Linked DNA regions of Neurospora crassa OR74A. The protein of the gene in region 1 purifies or fractionates together with the protein of each later gene. This does not show direct contact. Links are inferred from orthologs where the notes say so. Each region holds a gene or a part of one and is shown in the gene's direction. Other genes may lie near its edges.

Evidence for each region.
Region 2: the proteins of NCU16016 (region 1) and eat-5 purify together in Saccharomyces cerevisiae (affinity purification with mass spectrometry; 3 studies listed by BioGRID, with this or other methods). This does not show direct contact. The link is inferred for Neurospora crassa OR74A from reciprocal best matches to the Saccharomyces cerevisiae genes COX1 and COX13.
Region 3: the proteins of NCU16016 (region 1) and NCU00395 purify together in Saccharomyces cerevisiae (affinity purification with western blotting; 10 studies listed by BioGRID, with this or other methods). This does not show direct contact. The link is inferred for Neurospora crassa OR74A from reciprocal best matches to the Saccharomyces cerevisiae genes COX1 and MSS51.

Annotation. Positions count from the first base shown.
Region 1 is NC_026614.1:37,719-41,521, forward strand, and holds NCU16016 (cytochrome c oxidase subunit 1), read left to right. Parts: upstream 1-1,549; coding exon 1,550-3,223; downstream 3,224-3,803. Other genes in the region: NCU16017 (hypothetical protein), read left to right, coding at 3,186-3,803. UniProt on the Saccharomyces cerevisiae protein: Component of the cytochrome c oxidase, the last enzyme in the mitochondrial electron transport chain which drives oxidative phosphorylation.
Region 2 is NC_026501.1:1,850,486-1,854,304, reverse strand, and holds eat-5 (encodes anonymous transcript-5 protein), read left to right. Parts: upstream 1-1,532; 5' UTR 1,533-1,728; coding exon 1,729-1,900; exon of another isoform or gene 1,901-1,962; coding exon of another isoform or gene 1,963-1,987; coding exon 1,988-2,012; intron 2,013-2,302; coding exon 2,303-2,470; intron 2,471-2,619; coding exon 2,620-2,665; 3' UTR 2,666-3,220; downstream 3,221-3,819. Other genes in the region: NCU01961 (DNA lyase Apn2), read right to left, coding at 1-744, 804-849, 905-917, 979-1,006; eat-6 (anaphase-promoting complex subunit Apc5), read right to left, coding at 3,221-3,819. UniProt on the Saccharomyces cerevisiae protein: Component of the cytochrome c oxidase, the last enzyme in the mitochondrial electron transport chain which drives oxidative phosphorylation.
Region 3 is NC_026503.1:3,705,764-3,709,845, reverse strand, and holds NCU00395 (mRNA processing protein), read left to right. Parts: upstream 1-1,570; 5' UTR 1,571-1,703; coding exon 1,704-3,247; intron 3,248-3,318; coding exon 3,319-3,358; 3' UTR 3,359-3,558; downstream 3,559-4,082. Other genes in the region: NCU00396 (pre-mRNA-splicing factor rse-1), read right to left, coding at 1-632, 823-1,066. UniProt on the Saccharomyces cerevisiae protein: Has a dual role in the assembly of cytochrome oxidase subunit 1 (COX1). It has a regulative function on COX1 synthesis, acting as a translational activator specific for the COX1 mRNA, and it also binds to newly synthesized COX1 protein.

The DNA of each region.
Region 1 (3,803 bases):
TTTCCTACCTTCCTCCCTTCCACTTCTCGAGGCGAGCTTCGCTTAATTTTTTTTTTAGCCGTCCCCCCGCCCTGCAGTACTGCAGGGGGGGGGTGGAGGGAAACGGAGGAGGCCGTAAATAATTATTTGATCTTAGCAAGGGATCAGGATTACGATGTAAATGGTTTACCCTTTGACTGCAAATCTTAAGGATTAGGTTCGATTCCTACGTAATCCTTTAGGGTTAGCCTATAGCCAATTTTTTTGAGGCTAGCTTAATTTTTTTTAGCCGTCCCCCCGCCCTGCAGTACTGCAGGGGGGGGAAGCTAAAAAAAATAAGCGCCAGCCCAAAAAAAAATGAAGCAAGCTGCCCGCAAATTTAATAAATTTACTAACTATCTTAATGAAAAAAAAAAAATAATTCTATAAGGGGAGTAATTATCTGTATTTAGGGCTTAAATAATATGGGGGTAGTACATAATAATAATATTTAAGCACTAAAACATATATTTGTTTTTGTTTTTAAAAATATATGATAAAAAGACGCCTCGCGGCTCGATTTATTATTTGTATGTAAAATAAATTTAGGTTTAGTTTAGTTTGGAGGCGAGCTTCGCTAGCCCCTAAAATATACAAACTAAATCTTCTCTTGTAGGCTACAAAGGAATATAAGATACTAAGTAGTATCTTAACTGATGTTGTAGAAAAGGCGGAGTGATTCTGAGGCAAGCTTCGCCCGCCTTAACAAAATATGTATTATGAAGAAATAAACCGGTAAAGAAATATTTCTTTTTTTTTTTATATACACTACCTACATATTTTGGAGGCGAGCTTCGCTTAATTTTTTTAGCCGTCCCCCCGCCCTGCAGTACTGCAGGGGGGGAAGCTAAAAAATAATTGCCTCCCAAAATATTTTTAATATTTTGGTTAAATAATAAGATAAGTCTTCATTTTCTCGCGTAGCGGAGGCTCTCCTAACAAACCCCCCGCAAGCTTGCGGGGGTTTAGAAGTGGGAGCAAAATGAATTATAATAATAACTTGTGCGCTCCTCCAAAGGCGCTCATCCACTCTTCACAATCCCCCTTCCCCCCCCTGCAGTACTGCAGGGCGGGGGGACGGGGGGATATGTGGATAAGGGTAGCGAGAAAAGTTAATTTACTACATGAGGCTAATGGAATATTGGATAGCTGACTTAATATAGCAAGGCACTTCGTTGGTTCTAATACTGATTTAGCCGTGATTCCGCCTTTTTTTTTTTTTTTTTTTTTTTTAAAAAAAAAAAAAAAAAGAAAGTCCACAAAACATTGAAAGGCTAGTGTGTTTTTTAGTAAGTCAGTCAATCACCTACGTAGGTGATCCAGAATTACGTTACCGGGGATATTCTGTTGGTCGGTTTACAGAATATCCTGGTTAGCATTGATTGTATAATCAATAAGATGTTGTAATCTTATTTTATTTTTATTTATAAGATACGTAACCATTATAATAAAAACCATTATATTATTTAATCAATTAAATAGTGAGGAGTTTGGGCTCTCTTTAAATTCAAGTAAAAGAAGTGTCGGGTTAATGTCGTCAATTTCGATTTGAACTGAAAGATGATTTTTATCAACGAATGCTAAAGATATAGGAGTTCTTTATCTAATCTTTGCGCTATTTTCTGGGTTACTTGGAACAGCATTTTCTGTTTTAATAAGAATGGAGTTAAGCGGACCTGGGGTGCAGTACATTGCAGATAATCAATTATACAATGCTATAATAACTGCACATGCGATCTTAATGATTTTCTTTATGGTTATGCCAGCATTAATAGGTGGATTTGGTAATTTCTTGTTACCATTATTAGTAGGGGGTCCTGACATGGCATTCCCAAGACTTAATAATATTAGTTTCTGACTGTTACCACCAAGTTTACTATTATTAGTATTCTCTGCATGTATAGAAGGTGGAGCAGGTACAGGATGAACAATTTATCCTCCTTTATCAGGTGTACAAAGTCATAGTGGACCTAGTGTAGATTTGGCTATCTTTGCCCTACATTTATCAGGAGTTAGTTCCTTATTAGGGTCTATTAATTTCATAACTACAATAGTAAATATGAGAACACCAGGAATTAGATTGCACAAATTAGCTTTATTTGGATGAGCTGTAGTTATTACAGCTGTATTATTATTACTATCTCTCCCCGTGTTGGCCGGTGCAATTACTATGCTATTAACAGATAGAAATTTTAATACATCATTCTTTGAAACAGCTGGTGGTGGTGATCCTATTTTATTCCAACATCTTTTCTGATTCTTCGGGCATCCTGAGGTTTACATTTTAATTATACCTGGTTTTGGTATAATAAGTACAACAATATCAGCTTATTCTAATAAATCAGTATTCGGTTATATTGGTATGGTCTACGCCATGATGTCTATTGGAATATTAGGATTTATTGTTTGAAGTCATCATATGTATACAGTTGGTTTAGACGTGGATACAAGAGCGTATTTCACAGCAGCTACATTAATTATTGCAGTTCCTACAGGAATTAAAATATTCTCATGATTAGCTACATGTTATGGAGGTTCTATTAGATTAACTCCTTCTATGTTATTTGCTTTAGGTTTTGTATTTATGTTCACAATTGGGGGATTAAGTGGAGTTGTTTTAGCGAATGCATCTTTAGATATAGCATTCCACGATACTTATTACGTAGTTGCTCATTTTCACTATGTATTAAGTATGGGTGCTGTATTTGCAATGTTTAGCGGATGATATCACTGAGTACCTAAAATATTAGGTTTAAATTATAATATGGTGTTATCTAAAGCTCAATTCTGACTTTTATTCATAGGGGTTAATTTAACATTCTTCCCTCAACATTTCTTAGGTTTACAAGGTATGCCAAGAAGAATAAGTGATTACCCTGACGCATTTTCAGGTTGAAATTTAATAAGTAGTTTTGGGTCAATCGTAAGTGTAGTAGCTTCTTGATTATTCTTATATATTGTGTATATACAACTAGTTCAAGGAGAATACGCAGGTAGATATCCATGATCAATCCCACAATTCTATACTGATAGTTTACGTGCTCTTTTAAATAGAAGTTATCCTAGTTTAGAATGATCTATAAGTAGCCCACCTAAACCTCATTCATTCGTGAGTCTTCCATTACAATCTTCATCATTTTTTTTATCATTTTTTAGATTATCATCATATGGGGAACAAAAAGAAATCAGTGGGAGGCAAAATTAATTTTCTTGAACTTTTAACTTTCATCCAATTTTTAACTCATAAACTAACTTTAACACCACCAAAACCTCACCTTTTTGTGACCTCAAATTTACAAGCATCTATTTGGAACTGACCTTCTAAATCTCGTATTACTGAAATATCTAAAGCCATCTGAATGAATATGATTAAGAAGTTTAAAATATTTATTTTTTTTGCTCTACCTACTATGTTAATAGTTAAAGGTATATATATTTGTTATGATCAGGAGATATGAACTCTGGTATTTTTTACTCAAAATTTGGTAAAAAATTTCCCTTTTTTTGGCTTAAGATTATTTAATATGATTTGAGTAGAGTCCAATTTAGGAGTAGAAGCGTCCAATTTAGGAGTAGAAGCTCCTAAAGCTTCTTCAATATTTTTAGATCTTCATCTTTGAACCTTGATGTACCTATTTGGTAGTTTAGCTAGAATTTTTGGAGAACTATATTATAGTGATTTTGAATTACCTGCGGGTGTAGGTGGTGAGTCTTGTGAAAAAAAAACACCATCTCCACGTGGACCTTTAACTTTATATAAAAAAGGTTCAGACTCAGGTGCATCA
Region 2 (3,819 bases), on another chromosome or scaffold:
CGCGTTCTTCCTTGTTTCCCAGCACGTGTACATGCCTGGACGCTTTGGATGGAACTCTCTGCAGAGATCCCACAGCACAGGCTTCTCTCGCCCTTCGTCTGGCTCACCAATCACTCGGCCACCGAAAACAATTTGGTTCAAGAACCGGCGCGAAGGGGTCGAGATGAACTGGTCGAGTGTCATGGCCTCCTTTTTCAATTGTTCTGGTAGACCAGCGGTATCCATCTCGTTTCGGATGATGTTGAGGTCGCCGCAGAGAAACACCTCTTTCCCCAAGGAGACAAGGTTACGAACTCTGGCATCCATGGCGTCGATGAAGGCCTGACGGAACTCGATCCTGGTCTCGTCTCGCGTGGCCGGGCTGTATACACCGATAAGAACAAAGGCAGGGAACTCCAAGATGACACACCTTCCTTCGGAGTCAAGTTGAGCTTCGTCTATGTCGCTGGAGAGTTGGCCGGGAGTGGGATAGCCACCAATCTGCTGATCAGCAGGCAAGTCGCGAAACTTTGTGGACGAGTTCGGCGGACACAGAACGCCAGTAATGCCTTCTTCGGCGCGTATCGGGCAACATTTCGAGGAACGAGTGTAGATTGCAACTCCCGAGTAGCCCTTCTTGTACGTGGGTAAGTTGAAGTACACATCCCAGCCAGGGACGAGGACCATGTCGTCTCTCAAATCCTTCCGCTGAATCTTGGTTTCCTGTATGACCACAATGTCGGCGTCCAAGGTGTCGAACATGGCCTTCACTGTGTTAGAGCATCCGGCCAGATAGGGCTTTTGAATAGGGAACTTGATCCCACCTGAAACGTGCGGTTCTCCCGCCATGGCTGGTAACTGAATGGGTTTCTTGAAGCAGGGTCAGAGCTGGTTCATAGGGACGGCTTGTCGTGTTAGGACCGACCTGATACCATTGACTACACATTGGTTTGAGTTAGACCAGGCAAAACGCAGCAAAAACGCGCAAGAGGATCTCACCATTCCACGTCGTGATCCGTAACCCCATTTTCAGATATTCCTTTACTGATGCTAAGGTAGCTCTCTAGATCTACCAGGTTTATAGCACAACAAAGTCACTTCGGTCGCCGGATGCGGCGCTTGTAATTGCAATGGCCACACGAGAAGCAGAGGGACATGGGCTGACGTCTTCGATGTTCGGCTTCGCATGAGCAAGAGCTTCAGGTCTCGGGAACAATTGATCTTTCCCTCACGTCGCTACATCGATCGATATTCCCAGTCTCTTGGAGTTTGCCACACCTTGCGGCAAACGACCAACGATGTCACTAGCTGCCAAGCCATCGCCAAGTAGTTCGCGGCGTCCACAAACGAACGATTGGCTCGTGCGGTTGAATTACGCAGGTGAATTGGGCGGTCCACACACGAAGTCACCTGACAGGCAGCTGCTTTCGTCATTCCGACTGCTCGCGCAACTCAAGCTTTCAACGGGAACGTGCACTTGGCACTGTGGCTTGATTTCGACTGTCTGTGCACTCCAGCCACACCCCATGAGCAGCCGCAACCCACGCACGCACCCGAGGTCGAACTGAGCAATGAGCTGATCGGTCTCTGACCTCACTCAGTTCGCACCCGGAGTCACGAGAAGCCGCCAAGCGCAGGAGGAAAAGAGTGGGGCCAGCTTGCTACAACCTTTGCTGCTGATTCCGCATCCACCTCGTTACCAGTCCTCCTCCGAACCACCTGTAGTCGACCACAACGAATACGGAAACCATGTTCGCCCAACGCCAGATGTTCTTCGCGCGCCTCGCCGCCAACCTTCGCGCCCCCGCGGTCCGCCAGACCGTCCAGCGCCGCTTCGCCAGCACCCCTGCCAACGAGTCCGGCAAGAACGCCTTCGTCCGCGAGCGTGAGGCCGTCAAGCAGCACGCCGCTGAGACCACCGGTGCGCACTAATCCACCACCCGCCCTTGTCAATTGCCGACCCCGATTATCGATGGACGGGAAATGCTAACCGGGAGTCGCCATATAGAGCTCTGGCGCAAGATCTCTCTCTAGTATGCGCATTTCCTCCCACCCCCCAAATCCCCGCTGCGTGGTTTTTCCCGGATGGACCCCTCGGACTCTGAAGGAATTGGAACTTCAGCTAGCTCAAATGAAGCTCCATCGAGCTCCGATCGGAGCCCGCCTTCAACGACGAGCGCATGACACCAACGTCATAGCCGACGTGCACCGCCGAGAAGACGAAGGGGATCAACAGTCAACATCTACGGAATGCTTGATTGAGTGGGGGACAGAAAAGGGGAATGGAACACAATAAGCTAACGAAACTCACCCTTTCTCCCAGCGGCATTCCCCCTGCCCTCGCCCTCGCCGGATACAACGCCTACACCCTCTACAACGAGCACTGGGAGCACTGGTCCCACCTCCCTCCCCTTGAGGAGCGCACCGAGTACCCCTACCAGAACATCCGCACCCGCAACTACCCCTGGGGCGATGGTGACAAGACTCTCTTGTACGTTTAACCCATCCGAAGCTCGCACAACCGGCGGGCATCTCTGCATGGCCTTTCTGAACGAAGGAGCTTTGAGCGTGTCGAGCCCGCCCCATCGAAGGAGCCTCATTCTATGGCAACAACTACTGACCGATACCAACTCTGTTTAGCTGGAACGAGTCTGTCAACTACCACAACCGCGACAAGGTCACGTAAGTGGCTTGTTGATGCGAGCTTCACAAGCACCATCTGTGCTCTTGCTTGCTAGACTGGCATCATCCCTGGATCATTGGAAAGCAAAGAGAATTGGGACAGCTAGCGTGTAGTGAGAGCAGGTGGCATGGGACTGTGAATGAAGTGTGGAAAAGAAAGAACAGGACGAGTGCTAGAGGCACCACCACGTCTACTGATCCGCAATCATCATATCAATTTATTTGTATTCTGATATCAGCCTTTGTAAAGGCTCGCATTGACATCCATATGATCTTATTCTTGATGGAAGCCCATGTGCAGGACGAAAACAGTGTTCTACTGCTATTGCTGGGGATCTCCATGAGACAAAGTGCAGTGAGCCTTCATAGCTTCCTTCCATTTCTACCAGGGGTATAAAGACACAAAACAAGGGGCACACATCCGCGCCATGTTCGATGAAATCAAACATCAACCTCTATGGCCAGCGACAATATTCTCCATTCCTCATCAAGTCATTACAACCGAACTGCTCCATAAAAACGTCCGACCGGAGCTTTACTGAGCCCCACCCAAACCATATTATGGCGTACCTGTATCTGTCGACCATACACTAGAATGCTCGCCCGACGAGCTCTGCCTCTTCAATGCCATATACCGCGCCGCATACTCCTCCGCTCGAGCATGATCCCCCAGCACTTTCATTAGCGTCGCCCTCTTCGCCAACGTCTCGCACTGCTTCTCCAGATCTTCCGCCGCAGAGAAGTGGTTGAACGCACACTCCAGCGCCTCGTGTGCCTTCGTAAAGAGGTCGATTTTTTTGTTGCTCATCAAGCTCGCCGCCGCTCCTGTTGTTTCTCCCGTCGTCGTCATCGCCTGCCTGGCCTTTGCAGCTTTTCCAGCCTGTCCCATCCTGGCATCCGCCAGGATACTATACAGTATGCCTGTGTTGAAAGCATTCTCCGACTCCATCGAGCGCGGCAGCACTGCTTCTACTAGCTGCACAGCGGCAGTGAACTCGCCCATCGCATTCAGTATGTTGGCCAGAGCGCCAACCGCCTGCCAGAGAAGGGTGAGCAGCCGCGCACGCCACGCAAGGCTCGCCGCGCGCATGGTGATTGAGAACCCCCTTTCCGGTCTGCCCATGCAGTCAAAGAGGTGCGCCTTAGCCAGCAGTAGCC
Region 3 (4,082 bases), on another chromosome or scaffold:
GATAACCCGCTTCCTCTGAGGATCTTCGGTGGCACCGCTGCGTCTAGGGATGGGGACGCGGAAAGCCTCTTGATTCGAGTGCCGATAGGTGACATTTTCCTCGCCGCACACCAAGACACCGCTGGGACCGTCATTGCCGCCGGGTACTTGGAAGAGAAGTGAAGAAGTGCGATCGACAGTATCTGACCACTTGCGTACAACGTGGTTCAGGCCCAGATCAAGCTCGTAATATACCAGCTGTGTCTCGACTTCTTCTCGTGCTTGGCCCGTAGGATCTTGGTCCGCGTCCGTGTAGTCCAGTTCCAACGCAGCGAAAACGGGGTTTGCGTAACCAACGTCAAGGGCAACAAGAGACAGCACCAACACGCCTGGCTTGTGGGCTTCCAGTGGTGACGAGATGGTAAGCTCGGCCTGTGAGTTTCGGTTGAGAACATAGACCAGCTTGTTCTTTTCGAGTGCCGAAATGAGGCATGCTCTTCCCTTTGGATCTGCGGCTAAGTACTGGCCGGGGATGACTCGGCGGACGCCCGATTTGCCGAAAGTCTCGAGGTGGATGCGCTGAAACTTGTTCGTCTTGGGGAGATACTCGATAATCGTAATGCGGCCCGAATCAGTGGCGAGGATAATGTAGTCTGGGTGGCACAGGGTTTTAGCACAATCCCGCTACCGATTTGAATGAGTCTCTCAAGTCCCCAGAAGACTCGTAGGCCTGGGTGCATGGTGCGTGACCATACGTGTGGCCCCTCTACCCAGAAGCACCTGGGGAACGGATCCAGAATCACTATATTGCCCAACACAGGAGGTGGCGGGGAGGTTACTCACCCTTGTGGCTGCCGGCCAGACGGAACGACGCGATGGCGCGTACGATGCCGAAGATGTCATGAGACAACAGGGTGTTGACCTTGCCCTGACGGGGATCAGGCTGAAGGAGGGTTAGACGCGATCCAGACGCCGTAAGAATCTGCTGTTCCTTGGTTCCCGAGAACTGACCAAGCAGAGCCTGCGTGACAGCGGTGGGTGGCTGGATGGTCAAGGAATACAGGAACATGTTCGACGTAGTCGCCATGGCTGCAACTGGGCGCAGACAGCCGGCGCGGCTCTGCTTTCTCGAGGTTGTTTTTGCAAGTGGGTAGGACTCGGTTGTGCTCTGTCAATGCTGCCGTCGTTATGTTGAGAAGACCAATGCGCGAAAGTCAGCCAGATTGTCGAAAATCTAGAGTTGAATATCGAGTAGATGATTGTAACACGGCAAAAAAAAATGAAACACGGTCCAGTGTTCTGGCACTCTGGCGAGGTAGATGGAGTCGGTTGCCGTCGATGGTATTTCTGGCCAATTGGTGCAGTCCAGTCACTCAGGTTGCAGCGGTACGTCGGACTCGGTCCACGGTAGGTCGTAGACGCCGCCCACTCATCTTCCCGCCTCGCGACTGTGGCTTGCTCGTAGCTCTCTGACCCGCATACGTAACGTCAGACGGAGCTTACCTAGGCACAATTGTGGCTGGTGAAGCAAGAACAAAGTGGGTCATTCGATGGACGGGACCCGCCTAGGCACTTAGGCACAGTAGAGGTAGGTAGCGAGTCGGGTCGGTGGGAGAGGACCCCGGATTGCTGGGAGCTGCTGCCAAAAAGTCAATTGGAAAGTCGCATCGAGTCCCGGCGATCCAGATTCCCGATCGAACATCATCCGACCTCTTGAACTCCCAATGGCCCTCCCAGCAGACCGCGCCGTGCGTCCGGCCTTGTCCAAGCTTTGCTCGCAATGCTCGACTTTCACAGCTAGACAGAGCAGGCAAAGTGCTGCGTTTTTGCAGTCAGCCCAGCAACGCTCCGTCAGCTCCATCCGAGGGGCACAGAGCTCTTCCTCGTCTTCGACGCAAGTCGGCGGCATCACCAGAACCATTTCGCGTCCGATCCAGGCTTCGATCACAAGCAAGCTTCCTTCCGTTGCTGCCCAGTCCAGAACCAAGGCCAGCAGCTCGACATCGTTTGCCACCAACGAGGATCTGGCCGGTAGTGGTATCCCCTCGAAGCCGATTCTCGAGCAGGACAACCTCTTCCACTCCTTCACCAACTCGCCCATCCCCAAGATCCGCCAGCGCGCGGCCTTCATAAGACAGCACGCCAGCTGCCCCCACCATAGCCACCGCCCAGGGCAGTTCTCCGAGACCAACCGCCAAGTCGATACCGAGTCTGGCTCCCAGCCGCCGAAGCACGTCGATTTCGAGTGCCCTGACTGTGGCATCCCGGTATATTGCAGCGAGCAGCATTGGATGGACGACTATGAGAAACATCTCGAGATATGCGACACTCTGCGGCAGATCAATGAAGATGACCATGACCTCCATTCAGGCCGCCACTTCTACGAGTTCAACTACGCCGGTCCGCAAATGGATGATGCCATGGTCAACATGACCAACTGGGACACGTTCATGTATACCCGTCAGTTCGAAGCTGTCAACGATGACCGGTGCATGAGACAGGCGACTAGGTTGTTGACCTATCCTCTCACGATCGGCAGCGTTCTTCACGAGTTGAGCCCGTACCACATCCGGAATCGCCTCACGGTCGAGGGCTTAAAGAGTTTGACGGCACTTCGCTATACCCTGCATCCTCCCAAAACTGGAGGCAACGAGTCTATCAAGGGTCTTCGGCCTGAGGCGCCCCCCGTGCGTGTCTTTATTCTCGGTGCTCGCGCTGAGTCGTCGCTGCCTAGAGATGCTTGGGTGCAGTTGGCCCATCTCTTCCCCCTGTCGAGACTCCATCTGATTTTCATCGGACCCGAGAGCATGATGAACCGCGATGACGAATTTCCCCTCCCGCCTCGTACTCCCGAGAATCCTTACGGTGCGGTTGTGGAGGATCGCGTATGGCCTACCATGAAGATCAGCACCATTGTGGATTATTACCATACTATCCACAAGACGGGTTATTTCGCTCCTCACGATCCTTACTTCGACTGCTTCGTCCTCTTCCACCCTGGTTTGGGCCACCCGGCAAGCTCCCACGAATGGGAGGAAACGCTGCCTATGCTTCTCGAGACCAAAGCTCCTATCATTGCTACGGGCTACACGCAGGCTGACATGGAGCGTGATGTCGAGTGGGTCAACAAGAAGGCCAAGGGTGAATTCGACATTCTCATGGAGCCTGGCGAGAACATCTTCCGCAGTCTCCGGTGGGATCTGAATGATCTTGACCCTCAGGACGTCAGTGCCGGTAACTGGGGTGTGTGGGCCTTCCGCGGAAAGAGGTTGGTGCTCTCTTGATTTTTTTCCCCCGCACAACTAGATACGGTTCGAGAGCTAACAGAGTTTGTTTTAGGTACGAGGCTACCGTCAAAGACAACGTCATTGCTGTATAGATGAGCCATGCGTATGCTGGTCGTTGCATCCTGTAAGATGTAGTAGGTGTTGGCAACCGGGCTGTTAGGAGCCCAGACTGTATAATAGGAATATCGAACAAACGCATTGTCACGACCATATCGGCTTTTTACACTTCAAGACTTTGTGGTATCTTTTCCGTTTCTAACGGTACGGGCTGGATGTTACGGATGTCGGATCCAAGGTGTGTGTTCAAAATCTTTTGGACTGCACAGTCTGATAATCTCGTAGTTGTGGGCCTAGGGAGGCACTGATCTGCAACGGTCAGGCTCGGGCCGCATGCAGCAAGTGCCTTGTGTCACGGCAGTCTGCTGTGGCAAGGGTGATGACAGCTTGAGCCTCATCGACGACAGACGGTTTTTTTTTTTCAAGCACTTTTTGTCCGTCTCACGCAACACCTTGCACCGCGCAGTAAATTTCGGTCAACGTTTGTCAAGCGAAGTGCAACGATAACAAACTTCAGGCGTGGAGATTCCTAACCTGCCAGCAGCAGTGTGTATCCTTGGTAAGAAACGAAAACTACCCACATGCTGGAAGATGACTCGCACCGACTTGACTAGAGTTAAAGGAATTTAAAAGCGGTCGAGGATGCGGTGCCGCCTTAGCTGCGTAAGTCAAAGGTGTGTGCTTTGTTGACATTCATTCAGGGGAAGCTCGACGACTTCAAGGGGTGATCGGTTCCATGCTACGGGCAACGACCATGCT